Danio rerio: one gene and its partners. The protein of the gene in region 3 binds, or shares a complex with, the protein of the main gene of each other region. Links are inferred from orthologs where the notes say so. Each region holds a gene or a part of one and is shown on either strand. Other genes may lie near its edges.

Region 1 (7,491 bases), about 16 Mb from region 3:
CATCCATCCATCCATCCATCCATCCGGTCTAAATGTATGCATGTATTTTTCCTTCACAAAGAAAAATTTATATATATCGAAACAAAATGCAAATACTTATCTATACACTTACATCTTCGTCATCTCTCTTACGGATTTCAGGATGAGTCTGTTCAATGAGGCAGTCTACAAAACATGTCTGTAGGGACAAACAAAAGCATTTTTAAATGCTTTCAAAATGACTACTGAACTGAACACATACAACTTCTGAAAACCCCCACATGATGCTCCTTAATTAATTAGACATCATCTAAAAAACTGAATCAGCATAATGAAGTCTTTTACCTTGCCGTGGTGTAAGTGTCCACACAGTGTGACATTTCTGATCAGTTCTGAGCTGTCCATAAGATCAGCAAGGAATCTATCAAAAGATATATGCATGTAAGCTTATGCAATTCAAACAAAGAGGGGAAAAAACCCAATCATAAACTCACTCCATGTCATAGACGGTCGCTGGAAGCTCCTGCTCCATCAGAGTAAACTGCTTCATCCTCACAGGTTTTATAATGGGCTCTGAGGAACAATTAAGTCAGATACATTGATTTTCCACTGAGTGTGCATGCGATAAACAAACTGTTCTTCCACCAGCGTGTCTGTTACCTGTCAGCGGCTGTGTATCTTCTTCTTGAACAATAGTTTCCACCTCAGGACCATACACTTCTTCAGCAGTGGGATAATACTTTTTATCCTCATGCAGAACCACCTCCATACCACCACCTCCTCCATCCTCATCAGCCTCAGCCTGGTCATCATCGTCATCCTCCTCATCCGCCTGTTTTAAGAAAATGTACATCAAATTCAAGGAGCTGATTTTTGCATAAAAACAACCACTGACTCTACACGCTTCAGCTGAACAATTTAAAGGGGGCCTATTATGCTCATTTTTACTAGATGTAAAATAAGTCTCTGACATATAGCACCATAGTGCTCAGGGCGACCCGAGTTCGATTCCCGGCTTGAGGTCCTATGCCCATACTTCCCCTCTCTCTGCTCCCAGTGCTCCCCTCCCCCCAAAACATAGAAAAAAAACGTAATAATTATAAAAAAAAATATTCCACAAATAACGCTTCATAACTTTTTGAAATGACCCCTTTTAGGCTTTGATCCTAATTGTGTAATTAGGCTTTATGTGTAACTGCTCTTCTGGGGTCTCATTGATGAACATGGCATATGCACAAAATGGGCAGAAATATGCGTTAGCCACTCAAAGGTTGTGATCTATAAGCTTGAGAGGAGAGTGTCCACAGCTGTAATTAATCTCTAAGCAAACATATTTAATTTAAATATTGATTTAAACCACTTTAAATGAGCTAATCATCAATAAATAAATTACTTTATTCTGATGTATGTTCCTTACTAAGAACTTGTCTATGCAAATTTGATAAATCAGAGCCCTGGCGATTTGACCTGCTACTTTTGTCCTCATTTAAATGAGTTCTGTATATTAATATACGTATAATTTAGGAATATGGTATATTAACCCTTTAACTGCTCCACCAAGAAAAAAATACTATGGATAGCATTTCTTAACTCATAATGTCACTAGTCAACACATCCAATGAATTTTTTTTCAACATGCGACAAAATATCAACCATTTGGTAGAGGTTGATGTGTCCGTTTATGGAAAAATTACCGGAATTAATACATATCCAATGAAAAATCTGAAAATATGAAGTGTAAGACATATTTATTTAAAAAAAATATTCAAAATAAATTGTTTTTGAATACTATATCATCTTTATTTTTTGAAGTATGCCAAAAAATATTTCAGATTCTCATTTAACATGTTTTCTTATATATATATATATATATATATATATATATATATATATATATATATATGTATGTATGCATGTATGTATGTATGTATGTATGTATGTATGTATGTATATATATATGTATATATATATATATATATATATATATATATATATATATATATAGATATGTATGTATATATGTGTGTGTGTGTGTGTGTATATATATATCAATAAAACCAAAATTGAGTGTAGTAACAAAACAGGATTACATTTGTTTGATTATTTTATAAACCAACAATGCTGTGTCGTGTAAACCATTATTAAAACAGTCATTCTTAAAATGACTTTAAAAGTCATTATTTAAAAGTCAAAAGCTGGTCAACGATTTGAGCAGGCAATTAAGGGTTAATGTAATAGGGTTAATGAAACTGCACTTAAATGGCACAAATGCTCCAACTAGCAACGGTTTGGCAGTTTGAATATGATTACAGGTTATACAATCACCTCATCAGCATCCCGGTCCTCTGCATCTAGCTCTTCATCCTCATCAGAGTCCAGCTCTGGTCCGATATAATTTCCAAACTCGTCATAAAGATCAGTCTCCATGGCGACGAGCTCTGATAGGACAAAACAGATACAAATGACATAACTTACTTTGGTGCAGAGGAACTATTCGGAATGCAGATCAACTCATTTAAAATGCAGCAGTGGTTCATTATTCTGTCTGTTTTATTTTCTAGTGTTGGGAAAAACGTTACTGTAACACTTTTAGTATTACTGCACAAAATGCTGATTGAGGTAAAATTGGTTTAAATTCTTAGCGTTTCTGTAAAATTTGCTTAAATGCCTAACAAAATGCATACCCAAAGTAAATTGCATGCTATTTTTAACCATTTTTAGTATTGGTCTTTGTCAGGTGACAAATTCGATTGTAAAATTATTGATTGTTAAAATATTTAAAAATCACAAATGTTACAACTAACTTTAGCTGACTAACTCACCCCTTGTAAAAAAAGTTTATTTGTGGGTGTCTTTCTAAAAACAAATAAAGGTTTTTGTTTAAAACATTGCAGGATTTTTCTATATTTAGAGTATTTATTTGATGTTAAATGTTTTAAAACCCCGGATTTGGCATGGGCTGGTATAAGATTCTGATACTATGATAATCTTGGATATAAATATCACGGTTTTAGGTATTGCGATTACTGCTCTGAAATATATTCCTTTTAAATGTCTGGGTAAAAAAATAAAAACGTTTTCCCCTTTGTACACAATATATTTTATTTGGGAAACATTCATAATATTTTGGAGCAGTAAACATGTCAGGCTAAATAATTCAAATGAATTATTGACTTCTGCTTCCTTCATTTGTTTCAAAAATACAGATTTGTAAAAAATTTAAAACGCAATCTTTGAATATCTTTTCTGCTGTCCTAAAAAAAAACTAAGAAAAAAGTAAATTAAAAAATCTTACTCATACCCTAGGAACAATATAGCAGAAAATTGACGGTTTTAAAACCTTGACTTTTCTAAACCGCGGTATAGCTTAAAAAATGGTTATCGTCTCATGCCTACTCCAGACTGCAGCTTAATGAAACCGTATTTTTAAAAATCTGTTTTTTTTATTTTATACGAAAAAGGGATAAATACATTAGAAGTCAATTTTATTCTATGAGGTAACTATGCATTGTTTTGGTCTCTTTTGAAAGGTGACACACTAAGGTTTATTCCCTAATAGTCCGAATCACTGTAAATGTTTTTGAATAATTAAACTTAATTAAACTCTGCTTAAAACTTTTATCTTAATATTCGAACATTCAGACTTTTTTCTTAATAATATAATTTCAGTAAAGTATTCTTTACAAATTCTAAATAAGAAATTCATATTAGCTACCGATGACTATCAAAGTACAACATTGCTCACAGTCAAAGTCTTCACAGTTTTGAATTCATACTTGGAAGCAATTTCAGACTGAATATTAAAAGTAACATTGAGGTAAAGTTGGTTTTCTATTCACACATTCTCATTGATAATATCATCTCAGAAAAGTATTCTTTGCAAATTATAAACGGGGTAATCATATTAGCAGCCAGTGACTATGAAAGTACAACATTGTTCAGTCAATCAAACAGTGCTAATGTTGTTTTGAAGTCATACTTGTATGTGATTTCAAACCAAATATTGAAAGTAGCCTTGTAAACAATATAAGAAACATGTCACAAGTTGTCACTGAATGAATGTGCTAATATAACCAAGTTTACCTTAATTTGCATCCAACCAATGTGCTAGTTAGTTTTGCGTTTTGGATAGAAACTGGTAACGTTAAATTAATACCTTCTCTATATTGTACTTTGAATATTCAGCCTGAAATAGAAAGTAAGTTTAACTTCAAAACAGCGTTAGCACAATTTAATTCTATTAACTCTGTGAACAATGTTGTACTTTGAAAGTCTATGGCTGCTAATATGAGTTCACTACTTGCAGAGAATCATATCTTTTTAAATTATAGCTATTATTAAAGGGAAAGTCCGAATATAAAACCAACTTTACCTCAATGTAAACACCAAAGGGAACGTGACACAAGTTGTCAATGAGCAAAAACTTTACCTCAATAAAATGCTGTAGTGTCGAACATGTATCTTTAAGAGCCCAATAAACACAGCAAACATTAAAGTGAATAAAATTACCTCATAACATACTGAAAATCGCAATAAATATAAAAGATTCCCTTGTGAAACTGCCTCAAGTAAAGCCGATATTGCAACTGATCGCGCAGCAAACGTACGACAGCGAATGAATGAATAATTGCTTCGTGTAAATAATTATTTCCGTCGTAAATATAGTGCGTATTATAACAGTGTTATACCTGTGTGCGAGTCTTGTTTTTAATCCCGGTGTGATTTTATTGTTACAAAATGATCCCTCGTACTGTTTCAAACCATGCACCGCGAGGTCCTCGCACAGCTCAACGTAGGTCGTACGTTGGTGACGTCATCAGCGTTCGCCAAGCATATTGCCTGTTTGAAAAAAAAAAAACAGGCTACTAATACATGTCGCAGTCAGCCAAGATTTACTAAAAAAAATGTTTTTTTAAGTTTTCATATATTTAAAAATCAATTTTAAAATTTTGACCACTATTTTTTAATGTTGGAGTAAAAACAAAAACGTAAATAAACATTGAGTGACTCCATAGATATCTTATTATATATATATACACACACATATGGAGTGTATTATATATGTATGGAATATATATCTATGAAGTGGCTCAAATAGATATTGGCTTCAAACACTTAAGGGTAATCTTAAGTATGATTTACAGCTTTAATTATTATACAAAAAACTTTTTTTGTTTTTCAGTACAAAAAGTATCTAGATCTGAATTTATCTTGACAAACTATAGCTACATACATAGGCTACTACCATGTATCATTTTCAAGTATGTACTCAAAAAGTAGGGTGACTGACAGACTTATAAGACTTAAAATTTGCAAATGTAGCCTACTAATAGACAACCAAACTCTGTTATAGCTAATATAAGCTCTCTGAATAAAAAAATCTAAATCAAAACAAAACCAGTTAAACATTTTTAATTCTAGTTTTTTTTATAGCTAGACAATTTCTTCCAACAATAAGGTGCATATCTGTAGGCTGAAAATGGTCATAAAATGAAGTGAACACTATTAAAAACAAAACATTGTTTGACAAGGAATGGATGGGAAAAGAGATTTGTCAGTATCCCAATTAATTGACAGCAATAAAGGTATTACTTCATATGAAAATGTTTGTACTAAATATAATTTCTAATTCAGTAAAGTTTAAATCTTTAAAGCCATTTCTATCTCATTTGTCTGTCTAATTAAGGAAATACTTTCTTACTCTACCCTTATAACCCCAACTGTGCCTCCTGTGTTAATTGAAGTCTGTGATTTCAAAGAAAGAAATCTATGTAACAACATTTTATATCCATTTTATAGGATATAAAATGTTGTTACCAATCATTGGTTTTTACATAGATTTCTTTCTTTGAAATCACAGACTTCAGTTAACACACGAGGCACAGTTGGGGTTACAAGAGTAGAGTAAGAAAGTATTTCCTTATTTAGACATAATTAAGGAAAAAATAATAATTATAAAAAAAACTCAACTTCACATAAATTATCTAAAAAGATACCATTCACGTACTTAAAATTAAATATTTAAATATTTAAAGTTTCCTCTGTCTCCAATAACTAAAAAAGTTCATTTTAAAGTTTTAAGTGGGATGAATCTGTCAAGTAAATATTTAGGAATTAGATTTGGATTTGAGTCTAATAAATGTGTGTTTTGTGATGATATTGAAACAACAGATCATTTGTTTTTTCACTGTATGTTTGTGGATGCATTATGGATGCTTCAGATTCCACACCTCAGGATCTTTAAGGGATTTTATATATGAAAGAATCTCATTATAAAAAGCACAAAACATTAGTTTCACCTTCAAATATTTTGATTTATGTATGAAAAATTTTCCAGGCATAAGGATGTTGTTGATTAGGAAGGCGTCTTCCTTACTGTCCATTACAAGTCCGTAAATGACAATTGATATCGATTACATTAAGATAATGTTACATGTGATTGTTTTATTTTTGTTTCTATATTGCAGTTTTTTTTCTCTGTTTCCTGATTTCTTTTGTTTGCAGATTGGTGCCACCTGATTCCAATCTGCGTAGCTAATTTCTATTACAATAAGCTGAGCTATATTGACTGGCTGCAGCCACCAAGAAGGCAAAGAGGGGAGATAACATGTCTCACTTGAGCTGCGCCAGTCCCAGATACAAGGTGCTTGTGACTCGTGTGCCACTTTTTAAATTTGTTTTATTTTTATTATTTTTTTATATATAGTTGAAGTCAGAATTATTAGCCTCCCTGAATTATTCGCCCCTCTGTTTATTTTTCCCCAATTTCTGTTTAACAGAGAGATTTTTTTTCAACACATTTCTAAACATAATAGCTTTAATAACTACACTGTAAAAAATTGCTGTTAAAAAACGGTCAGATTCTACGGTAAAATAATGTTTTTTCACTAAAACAGTAATATTCTGTTAAAAACAATGCTTTCTGGGTAACATTTTTGTTTTCGAGAAAGTAACCAACTGCAGAAAACTGTGAGCTAACAGAGTTCAGATTCGATGTTTTAAAGTCTGTGTTTGAAATCACACTTTGTGTCCTTGTTCACTATTTCATACACTAGTTAACTAATATAGTTCACCTGACAGTTTTAATGAACACTAATGAGTGAATTCAGACACTGATGAACACCTGCTGTTAATAATTACAATTACTGAAGAAAATAAACAAGAAACACAAACAGTGACTTGAGTTACAACATTAAATAAAATCAAATAAAATAAAACAGCTTCAGTCTCAGCAGAGGATCATTAAACAACTCCACAAACAACAGCAGACACACACTTATTACTGACTGATTTGACTTCCATACTATTCACATTGAGATCCAACAGAAATTAAGGTGTTTTTTGTGTCACCGTAATGGAGTGAGGGGCTGGTTTAGTTGGGCTCTTCACCCTTGAACTGATTAATTCAGACTCTCCAATCACTATAATAAAGAGTTAACAAAATGCTTGTATTATAGCAGTCAAGTTGGAAAGTCAATAAATAGAGAAATATATTTGTCTTAAATTAGTTCT
Region 2 (7,491 bases), on a different chromosome or scaffold from region 3:
ACCTGTTGCCGCACTGGTTTTGAGTCCCACAGAGGAGCTCTTGATAATAAAAGGAGAAGAGAGGACCAGGCCTGGACACTTTGGGCCCTATCATATGCAAAGCAATTGTTGTTTGCTAGTTTCAGCTCGACACGAGTCGTTTCGACGTTTTGCACCACGGTGTTTAAATAGCAAATGCATTTGCGCTCATATGTGCGCCCATAGGTGTTCAGGTCTAAAAAAGGAGGCATGTTGAGGTGCATTGCTGGCGCGTTGCTATTTTGAGGAACTTAAATAGAAGGTTCAAATGGATCAGATCAAAGCTGGTCTATTTTCCAGCGCAGAGCGCATTAGTTGTGCGCCTCGCTTACACATTTCTTAATACACAGAGTATGTACAGCAATACGCAAATATCTTCACAAATAAAAAAAATAAAGGATTAAAATATTACAAAAATTATTATTTTCTAGCCTACATAAATATAAAAAACATACTTTCATTCTTCTTTATCTCGGGGGCTTTTTCAGTTTATTCATAACAATTTGCTTTTGTATAATGTTATTATTAATAGTAGTAGTATTTATTATATGCATATTTAAATTTGTTTTACTAAAAACAAGCTTAGATTTGTTCACCTGTCAGGTTTTAGACCATATTGGGCACAGCATGTGTATTTGGATATAACTCAGTTTTTTGACCACACTTTATTATTACTGTTCATTTATTCGTTTGCTGGAAATTAGAATTGAATTTAGAAGTAGTTTTGAAACAACTCTTTGTGCTTAACAAACAAAATTAATTATGTATAGGGCAATGGAAATCTGTGCGTACAACATTTTTCCCTATCCATGAGAGTGAAAGAGAAAGTAAACAATGAGGAGGCTCATCTCTCATTCTGGCGCTGTAGATGCTCTGTTTAACTGTTTTCTTTCTAGTGAAGCCTTCAGTTTTTCCACTTACAAAGTCCGCCATTAGGGGTGATTTTAGGATTTTCATTTTAGGGGGGCTTACCTCCTTATATGGTGAAAAAAAAATCTATTATAAATATAAATATTATAAATATAATATAAAGCCTAATATTACATTCATAAGTAGTAATTTAATAGTGTCTAATATGGGTTGTATACTAGTATTCCATAGACAGGCATAGCCATTTGAGTTCTGAATAAGGCAAATAGGCTCAACCCACCTGTTCACTGTAGTAAAAAGCACTTTCTATAGTCAAGTGCATTTTTTGTTTCCAGGTATTAAATAAATAAACTGCCACTTTTTTATTGAACTGACACACACACACACACACACATGTGTATATATATGTGTGTGTGTGTGTGTGTGTGTGTGTGTGTGTGTATATATGTATATGTGAAAAGTTTAGATGCAAAAAGCCATTTGATATTTTCTTCTAAAATGAGTGATAAAATAGTGACGAATAAGTTATTTTCATTGACTTTGAAGTTAAATATATGAACATAAACATAGGAAGCTGAGATAAATGCTCATTTTAGGAGAACGTTTCAGATGGCACTTAGAGGTTTTTGCATCTGAACTCTTCTGCATCTGAATAAAATACAATTCAGGTTGAAAAAGACCACATCACTAAAAAGACACTAGAAAAGCGTTTCACCTTGATTCCGTTAAAGTTATCGACAGCCAGAATAGTGCTCCTCTGATCTTCATAGCACAGGAAACAGAATCCTTTGGATTTGCCAGTCTTTTTATCTCGAACCAAGTTGATGTTGGCAATCTCTCCATACCTGACATTCACAGAGGAGGATTAAGCTTTACTAGCAAAGAAAATAAATACTGACGTCTTTAGCACAAAAAGACATGTTTAAAATGAACACTCTGGCTTACTGAGAGAAAACACAGATGATGTCTCCTTCTGTCAGCTCATATGGAAATCCACCTGCAGATTGATATTAATATACATATTTACATTACTTAAAATAAATACACACACACACACGCACGCACACGCACGCACACATATATATATATATACATATTTATATAAATATATATATACACAAACACACACACACACACACACACACACACACACACACACACACACATACATACATACATACATACATACATACATACATACAAGTCAAAATTTTTAGACATCCTGAATTAATAGCTGTACATTTTCCCCCCCAATTTCTGTTTAATGGAAAGATTTTTCAACACATTTCGAAACATAGTTTTAATAACTCATTTCTAATAACTGATTTCTTTTATCTTTGTCATGACGGCAGTACATAATATTTTACTAGATATTTTTCAGGATACTAGCATTCACCTTAAAGAGCAAATTAAAGACTTAACTAGGGTAATTAGATCAACTAGGCCAGTTAGGGTTTTAAGGCAAATCATTGTATAAAAAAGATTTGTTCTGTAGACCATCGAAAAAAAATATTGCTTAAGGGGGCTAATAATATTGCCCCTTAAATGGTTTTAAAAAATAATTTAAAACTGCTTTTATTCTAGAAAAGATTAAAGACATCAAAGTTTCTCCAGAAGAAAATAGTCAGAAATACTGTGAAAAGTGTATTTCTCTGTTAAACATCATTTGGAAAATGTTTGAAAAAGAAAAAAACACACATTCACAGGAGGGCGAATAATTCTGACTTCATGGTTTGAATTGCAATGTTCTGTCTAGTAAATGAATGCAACATAAAAAATACAACAATAAATGTAAATCACTTTGAAATTGTACAAGGTCAGATCACTGTGTACCAGTGTGGGTTTCTGGAGGACTAAAATCATGCCATTGTCTACAAAAACACACATTTAGTTAAACAGATGAATGCTGCCACCATCTGGCAGAATGTAAATATAGTCCATCCAGACAGCATCTTAGCTTCCATAACAGGCATGCCCAAAACTCAGTCCTGGAGGGCCGGTGTCCTGCAGAGTTTAGCTCCAACTTGCTTCAACACACTTGCCTAAAAGTTTCTAGTATGCTATTTAAAGCTTGATTAGCTTGTTCAGTCAAGTTTAACTAGGGTTGGAGCTTAATTCTCCAGGACTCCGGCCCTCCAGGACCGAGTTTGGGCACCACTGGTCTATAATAATGATTGCCGAAGTGCTGTGACAGATTGATCTATCTTTTGGTCCACAGCCATAATGTAACTATGTAATAATGTTCATCATTTCCTCACCGATGAAGACCCAGGCGCTGTTTTTATAGACTGAATGCCAGGACACAGTCTCTTTGATGCCCAGCTGAGCTTCTCTTTCATTCAGTTCATTGATCAGCTTCACTTTGGTCAGTGGACTACATTTAATGAAGAAAAAAAAAAAACAGAAAAAAAGACAGATAATGAATATATGTTTGCTTGTTCATTCATTTTGTGGGCCACAATATGTCATTTTGTTTATTATTCTGTTATGGTGACTAAACCAAAATATGAGAAAATGCAGTATATTCAGGATTAGGGCTGCACAATATATTGCTTTAACATCGATATCGCAATGTACAAATATGCAATAGTCACACTGCAGCATCCGCAGTGTTGAGTTGTGATTACAATGACCAGGAATTACATTTCAGAACATAATTTTTGGAGTCATCGCAAATTTGAATCCTAACAGAGTGAAAGATTTTCATTTGGATGCGTTTTAAGGAACTGTGACAAGTGAAAGTAAACCAAGAAATTTTAGTTTTATAGTTTAGAGATTTAACAAAGAATAAAATTGTTTCTAGTTACTACAATTAATACAATATAATGTTATTTGATTAATGTTAGTTTAATATTCTTAGACTCCACAGAAAACCATAAAACACAAAACAAACAAACACATTCTACTGCATTTATCTATGCTTACAAATTGTTTATAATGTTTCATGCAAATATTTGAATTGTTTACACAGAGTTATTTAGGTAATCTTTTGTGAAATCATATTTATATCGCAATGTATATTGCAGAAAACTAAAAACCGCAATGTCATTTTTTTTACCCAATGTCGTGAACCCCTATTCAAGATTCATTATGACTTTGACACTTTTTACAGCCTAAAATCTTTAAAAATTAAAGATGTCAACACAATAAACATTGATGTATATGGTTTTGTTATGCAAGTCAATAGTTTTGTCCCACTGATAACATTTCTTCTATATTCAACATACAATGTAAACTGATAATTGGTCACAAAAGATTATCGTTTTCGTAAAGGAATCATACATGTTTATATTCATTTTTAGACAACACAATACCAATGTTTTAAATAACGACGAGTTAAGAAATCTGAATTTAGTAGACAAAAATTGACTTTATATCACAACAAAGTAAAATGATTATTATTCTGACCAGTTGTAAGCTTATGAAAAAAGATATACTTTAATGAGTTGATAAAACTAAAAATGATTTCTCAATAACAAGTAAATAACAATTGAACAACGTTCCACGACAAAACATTTCTATTATAAAAAATATTTTAATTATATTATTATTCCAGTAAAACACATGTAACTGAATGTTAATGTTTAATGTAACAGTTTTCGTTTATATTTATGCTAGCTTTAGCTGTTGCTGCAAACCAGAGGCTTCTGGCTGTATCGACATTTCATTCCATGACTGAATAGTCTAATTAAATTCTCAAACGTACAAGAAACACGGTATAACAAATGTATTGAAAATATTTTAATCAAACGCAAACATTTAACTCATCACTTACTTCATTTTGGTGAATCGAAGTCACTCCGGAAATAGTTTCTTTTTCGCAGTCCACACGTGGTGCCATTGTCTTCCGGTTTAGACAAAAGGATTGTGGGATGTGTATTTGACTGACTGTCCATACGGCGTTTTTGTAGTAAAACCATGCTAATTGCAAAGTAGCTAAATTATTTCGCTAAATCATTAAAACAGTGGTAAATAATAAAAAAAATGAACAAAAAACAAATAAACAAACAAACAAACGAACGAATCATGCTTACAACACTGCTAAAAATTAATAGTTTCTGTCAGTTTGATTGAATTATAGCCTACATTTTCCTCAGTTTAGAGGCTTAAATGGTTGAATTAGCAAAAATTTCAGCAATATTTACTGCATTTTTGTTATTTTGTACCTTAAACAGGCTCTAAAGGAAACAAAGAGAAAACTAGATGTGATGATTAACTTAATGTCTTCATAAAAATAGGCTATAGCATCATATTTGACAGAAATGATTTATCAAAATAAACAATTCTTTGTTGAAAAGCTTTATTAGAAATATCATGGAAAATTCTAACATTTATCAAACCAATCAACCAAGATGTTTAATCAATAGGGTTTTTCAGCCAAAGATAAACATCCGGTGAAAGCTTAATGTGACTATTTTCAGTTTCATAAGGTTCCTTTCACAGCATCGATGTTGTAATGTAATAACACTTTCAGTTAAATAGACTTAAGCATTCATTCAGTTGTTCAAGAGTAACAAGATAAAAGACCGTGTACAGATAGCGCCGTCAAGATCAGCAGGCTGCAGAAACTTCATACCAGAAAATACTGGGGTAAACATGTTGGGGGAAATGTCATTTAAATCAGTGATTCTTGTCCGGTCTGAAACCCACATATCGAATATCTAACACGCAGTAAAGATCACTAATTTTCAAAGAAATCAGACCTTAAATGTGGCAATTTTATAACAGAAAGACACTGAAAGCCCTGGGGCTGCCTTACTAAAATTAAAAGTCAGTGTACATATACCCCATCAGCACAGCAGGCCTCTGATTTAATTTAATTGCACACAACAATTTAACTTACAGAGCTTTCATCATAAAATTAGCCCCAAAATGTTATCTTACTAATAAAGACAGATTATTTTGAGGTATAATGACATGTGACTCTTATGTAAGCAATATACTATTGTGAAATATTGATTTCCCTTTGTGGCCATATAAAATAACACAAATGTTCCAAACTAGGATTTACACTGCATAATTTATTTTCTAGGATTTTTTTTTTGGCATGTTTCTAGTCCAAATATCAAAAAATTACTCTTATATCAAGAAGCATTTTCTAGGTAAGCAAAACATATTGTCTTGTTTTGAGAAATAATATGCCAATATTAAGTGATTTTTTCCTTAAAACAAGCTAAATAATCTGCCGATGGGGTGAGCAAAATAATCTTGTTTCTCCTTTTGACATAAGATTTTTTTTTACCCCATTGGCAGACTATTTTGCTTGGGACTTGTTCTTTTTATAGAAGTTAGGGTTAATTACAAGTAAAGTTTGACAAAAAATTGGGTTTCTCTTGTTGATGTACATTAAGCTTTTTTCATGCTAAGCATTTTAGAATGTCCCCTCATCGATAATTGTAAAATCTTAAAGGCAACAGTGATATGCAAAATGTCTGTCTTCTTTCCTGTCTTTTAATAACTGCTAGTTCAAGAATAAGCAAAATAATGTTACCTTGTTGTTGTTGTTTATGAAAAAAACTTGATTGCCAACCTTTCTCTGTTTGAGTTTAACAAAAGTTAATCCCATAATTTGCTCAGGAGTCATGGGGTGTAGAAAACAGGCTGATCGAGTAGTTTCTTTTTGAAGTAAGTAGTTTCTTTTTTCAAGTAATTGTTTAGCATTAATCTCCTAGGACTTAGTGGCCACATACGTGGACAGTACATTTTAGCCCTTAAGTGGCTATTTAAAATACTTTGAATGTTTTATATTTTGTCACAGACAGTGTCATCCTGCAACTGTTTTGCAGCATATGAAATGTCCCAAACACTATTTTTAACTGTCCAAAATGGGGAAAAAATGTATATGTTATATATGCATTAAAAACATTCAGGAAAAAGTGTTTTTTGTAAATTCAGACCACGAGTCCACATATATGGACATCATTTTTATCTAAAAGTACACCATATCAAAAGATAATAATTATGTTCCTATATGCCAAAATAGCAAAGAGAAATAAAAAATGCATGTAAAAAAAACACCTTGGGCCTTGAAAGGTTTATTATTGGTATGTAATTGCATTTCTCATACTTTAAAAGGGCTTACTGAGCTTGCATATGAAGCATATACTTTAATGGCACTGCAATGGCAGATAACATATATAACAATATTATAAGAAATAACTTAAAAATGACATTGTTTTACTGTTTGGCATAAATATTTCAAGGACCCTTAGATACACATTTTTTTCTGTCAGTAATATTAAAAATGAAAAAAAAAAAAAATCATAATTTTGGCCAACGCATGCTTATCTACATCTAATTTTGGTGGCACAGTGGCCAGTTAGCATTTTTGTGTGGAGATTGCATGTTCTCTTGTTGGCGGGGGTTTCCTCCAGGTGCTCTGGTTTCTCCCACAGTCCAAAGACATGGGCTACAGGTGAATTTGATTACCATTGGCTGTAGTGTATGAGTGTGTGTGTGTGTGTGTGTGTGTGTGTGTGTGTGTGTGTGTGTGTGTGTGTGTGTGTGTGTGTGAATGTGAGTGTGTGGGGGTGTTTCCCTGATTTGTGGTTGGAAAGGCATCAGCTGCATGAAACATATTGCAGATTAGTTGTTGGTTCAATC
Region 3 (3,582 bases):
TGTTTGATTTTCGGAACACAAATAAAGATATTTTACATGAAATCTGAGAGCACCCTCATCCTCCATAGACAAGAGACGTTCAAAGTCCAGAAAAGGATCCAAAAACAATCCATGTGACTTTCAAGGTTTCCTGCGGTTTGGAAAAGTCAGGGTTTTAAAACCGCTAACATTTTCTGTTACACTGTGGTATATGTACATTGTTTAAACATGTTTTTTACAACATGTTTTTTTATTTTATTTAGTTTTTTTAGGGCAACAGCTACTGGTCAGCCCATGGTTTAGGGAACATCTGAAAAACAAAATGCTTAAGCACCAAAACATCCAGGCATGCTCTGGACCTGAACAGTGCTGTGGCTTACTTTATATCCAAAGAAGAGAAAGATGAATGTCTTTTTCATTTTTTTTTAAAGAAATATGTGTTTTCGAAACTATTGACTTCTGCTGTCTTCAATAAATTCTTTAGCCTGTCATGTTTACTGTTCCAAAATATGCTTCTTAAAATAAAATATATTGTGTTCAATGGGAACAATAATAGTTTTTTTTTTACCCAGACATTTTAAAAGAATATTTTTGAGCAGTAATCACAATACTGTGAAACTCTGATATTTTTATCCAAGGTTATCATACCGTCAGAATCTTATACCGGCCCATGCCTAGTAAACGCGCACCCTGACCTGTCATGTATACAAAAAATAAAGTATTCTTTCATGTATTTACAGTTTTTTACAAGTGTTTTGGGAGCTCTACATGATTACACATCAGAACACTAAAGTCCCATGCAATGTTTTTGGTTTCTGGACTTTTGAACATCTTTGAAATCTCACTGTCCATGGAGGATGAGAGAGATGTCAGATTTAATCTAAAACATTTTCATTTGTGTTCAGAAGATAAACAAAGGCCTCTTAAATACAGCCGCCAATCCAAGCACCAATCACAATCTGCCGTAATCCGCTGCACCTGGAAATAATTCAGACCGAGAGAGTGCAGGAAAGAGGGAGAGGAAACAAGAGAAAGAAAAACTCGTAACAACACTGACTCACCTGACCATGCCAGAGGAGGCATTGCCCATAGTGGAATCTTTGGGTTTAATGAATTTGTGATAGTTGTTGATCCCACGATAAATCTTATCATCTTCTTTACCAGTCAGCTCCTATAAATTACACACAAACACGCAGCCATATGATTAAGAGATTGTGTATATTCTGGCCATCTTAACAATATCAACAATCAAATATCATGACATGAAATGACCCCGCTCCTTAGATGCTGGTTTATTCTTCTGCATTGAGCGCAGACTTTGAGCAATCGCATACTCCTCGCCGTGGCTGACGCGCACCTCTCAAAAAATGTCACTACTTGACGATACGTAGCGCAAGCTCTGCGGTTGGTCAGCTTGATAGTGATGACAAGAGTGGGCAGCGCGGAGAGCAACGAAAAAAAGAAGACTGTTGGTTTTAGGCAATGTGTGTTTTCATTTCAGTTGTTCAACGCTGATGTTCAATAAATAATCATAGATAGTAGATAGTTTGCGTTTCCTTCAATTATTTTAAAATCAAGTAATGCACCCTTTTCAAACATCTCTCACTTTACGAAACCTGTCAGTTAACTATGAGGGCAAAAACAAATGAAATAATCAATCATTAGTTGTAATCGGGTTAAAATGTTTAGTTAATCAAGATTTAGATTTGAGGCCAAATCGCCCAGGCCTATTATAAAGGCTATTTATTTTCTAAAATGAATTGATTCTGCTGTGCTTGAAAGCACTGAGTGAGGTATCTAAATAACTGAACTGACATGACATGACACGCTACTATATCACCTTCTGTAGAGCTGTTGTCTACTTGAAATATGTGTAAATACAATTGAAAATGCTGAGTTTAATGTTATCTAAATCTAGAACTGTAAAGGTACTTTGAATCTGTACATAACATACATAAACCTGACTTTACAATGATGCAGCCAGTTATTTCCAATCACCCGCATACCTCTTGGATTTTCTGACTGCGCTCAAAGATGGCCTGAGCATCTTTGTCCCTCTCTGTGTCCAGCTCATAGACAGCAGTGGCCCCCATGTCATCCGGCCCCTCTGGTTTCTGCAACACATAGTCAAATACACTCAATTACAGCCTTTAATGTTTCAATGAGACAGCGCAAAAACTGTCAGACGTTAATAGAAATGTAAAGTCATACGTGGTCATGAATTATTAGGCACCATCAAGCGTTTATATTCATAATTTGCTGTAGCATAAATCATGAAGCTGTACAAATGTTGGGTCAGTCAGACTCACCGCTGAGCGAGTGGACTTGTAAGCGACAGTCACGCTCTTTTCTTCCTTCTCTTCTTCACTTTCACTCGATGAGACAGCTTCCCTCTCCACTTTCTTCGTCTATAAAACGAATAATAAATATAATAATGATGACATCAGTTTAACAGCGGCTAGTTACATAAAACACATGAAATACGGACATACTTTCTGAATCATGGGGTTCACAGCGGCAGATTTCTTCTTTCTGACCACTGCACTGCCCTCATCGCCGCTGCTTTTTTCTGATGATAAAGAAACAAAACACTGAACTGCAGACATGTATTGAGCATAAACATTAATTAAACAGACGGCTTGTTGTAGGGATTATAGTTTCTCAAGTCAAACTCGCTGTCGATTGAGACACTGAAGAAAGAAGCACAACGTACCTTTGTCGCTGTCACTTGCATTTCTTTTCCGTGCGGAAAATTTCTTGTTTGATTTCTTAAAAATAAATGTGCAGGTGGGTTTTTTCGGCTCCTCGGACTCCGCCATCTTTAACTACGTATAAAAACAAACGATGAAGTCATTTTTTGGTTACAGCGCCTCTTGTGTTTGGGAAGAAACGTAGAATGGGAATGGTTTACTGCTGTTGTATTTGATATGAATATATTCCCATTTAACAATTGATAATGTACATATCTTTACTATTATTATTAATCAGTAACTAGCAATATTCAGACAATATTTGGATGCATGCATTGAGCAAAATTAAGGATAAAGACGTTTTAAGGTATTTTATGGTGTACTTAAAGTAAAATTATGATTTAGAGTGAATTTTTTCCCATTATAAAGGTAAAGTCTAGTTAGGATACTGTGGATACGTACATCAACATAGCATAAGTTTTGTGACACTGTATAACAATAAATAATATTTTACAGTACAAATTCCACACTGGCCACGCCCCTATCGTGAATGTACCACTAGACGTAAATGTGTCGTGAAACACCGCAGCGGTTTACGGCCTCGCGCCATTTTAAGAAAGGAACGACTCGTTCAACTGGGTGAGAACACACGTTGGGTATTGTGTGGACCGAAATACACACAAAAATACCGAGTGAATTAAAGAAATTCATGCACGAAGGTCTTCCACAGAAACACGCAAGAGGATTTTGGCCCGAAAATCGGAGATTTCGTTGGAGCCGAATGAAAAACTGAGGTAATTGACTGCAGGAGGCCGTCCGTGGAAATGTAGGCGATCTCGGATATGATCATCATGAGAGAGTTGGTGAATTAGCAGAGCTGACCGTAACCACGACTGAGCTTTGCTTTATTTTT

The links.
Region 1: rnf113a (region 3) and eftud2 share a complex: the UniProt entries of both Homo sapiens proteins name them as parts of the minor spliceosome. The link is inferred for Danio rerio from reciprocal best matches to the Homo sapiens genes RNF113A and EFTUD2.
Region 2: rnf113a (region 3) and rbmx2 share a complex: the UniProt entries of both Homo sapiens proteins name them as parts of the minor spliceosome. The link is inferred for Danio rerio from reciprocal best matches to the Homo sapiens genes RNF113A and RBMX2.

Annotation. Positions count from the first base shown.
Region 1 is NC_133178.1:15,082,053-15,089,543, forward strand, and holds the start of eftud2 (116 kDa U5 small nuclear ribonucleoprotein component), read right to left. Parts: upstream 4,769-7,491; 5' UTR 4,489-4,768; intron 4,461-4,488; exon of another isoform or gene 4,409-4,460; intron 2,418-4,408; 5' UTR 2,407-2,417; coding exon 2,305-2,406; intron 812-2,304; coding exon 640-811; intron 553-639; coding exon 474-552; intron 401-473; coding exon 325-400; intron 179-324; coding exon 113-178; intron 1-112. UniProt on the Homo sapiens protein: Required for pre-mRNA splicing as component of the spliceosome, including pre-catalytic, catalytic and post-catalytic spliceosomal complexes. Component of the U5 snRNP and the U4/U6-U5 tri-snRNP complex, a building block of the spliceosome.
Region 2 is NC_133196.1:41,941,445-41,948,935, reverse strand, and holds the start of rbmx2 (RNA-binding motif protein, X-linked 2), read right to left. Parts: upstream 4,716-7,491; 5' UTR 4,669-4,715; coding exon 4,664-4,668; intron 3,263-4,663; coding exon 3,147-3,262; intron 1,886-3,146; coding exon 1,834-1,885; intron 1,734-1,833; coding exon 1,604-1,733; intron 1-1,603. UniProt on the Homo sapiens protein: Involved in pre-mRNA splicing as component of the activated spliceosome. As a component of the minor spliceosome, involved in the splicing of U12-type introns in pre-mRNAs.
Region 3 is NC_133178.1:30,712,647-30,716,228, forward strand, and holds the start of rnf113a (E3 ubiquitin-protein ligase RNF113A), read right to left. Parts: upstream 2,801-3,582; 5' UTR 2,799-2,800; coding exon 2,693-2,798; intron 2,549-2,692; coding exon 2,472-2,548; intron 2,388-2,471; coding exon 2,289-2,387; intron 2,094-2,288; coding exon 1,986-2,093; intron 1,151-1,985; coding exon 1,041-1,150; intron 1-1,040. UniProt on the Homo sapiens protein: Required for pre-mRNA splicing as component of the spliceosome. As a component of the minor spliceosome, involved in the splicing of U12-type introns in pre-mRNAs. E3 ubiquitin-protein ligase that catalyzes the transfer of ubiquitin onto target proteins.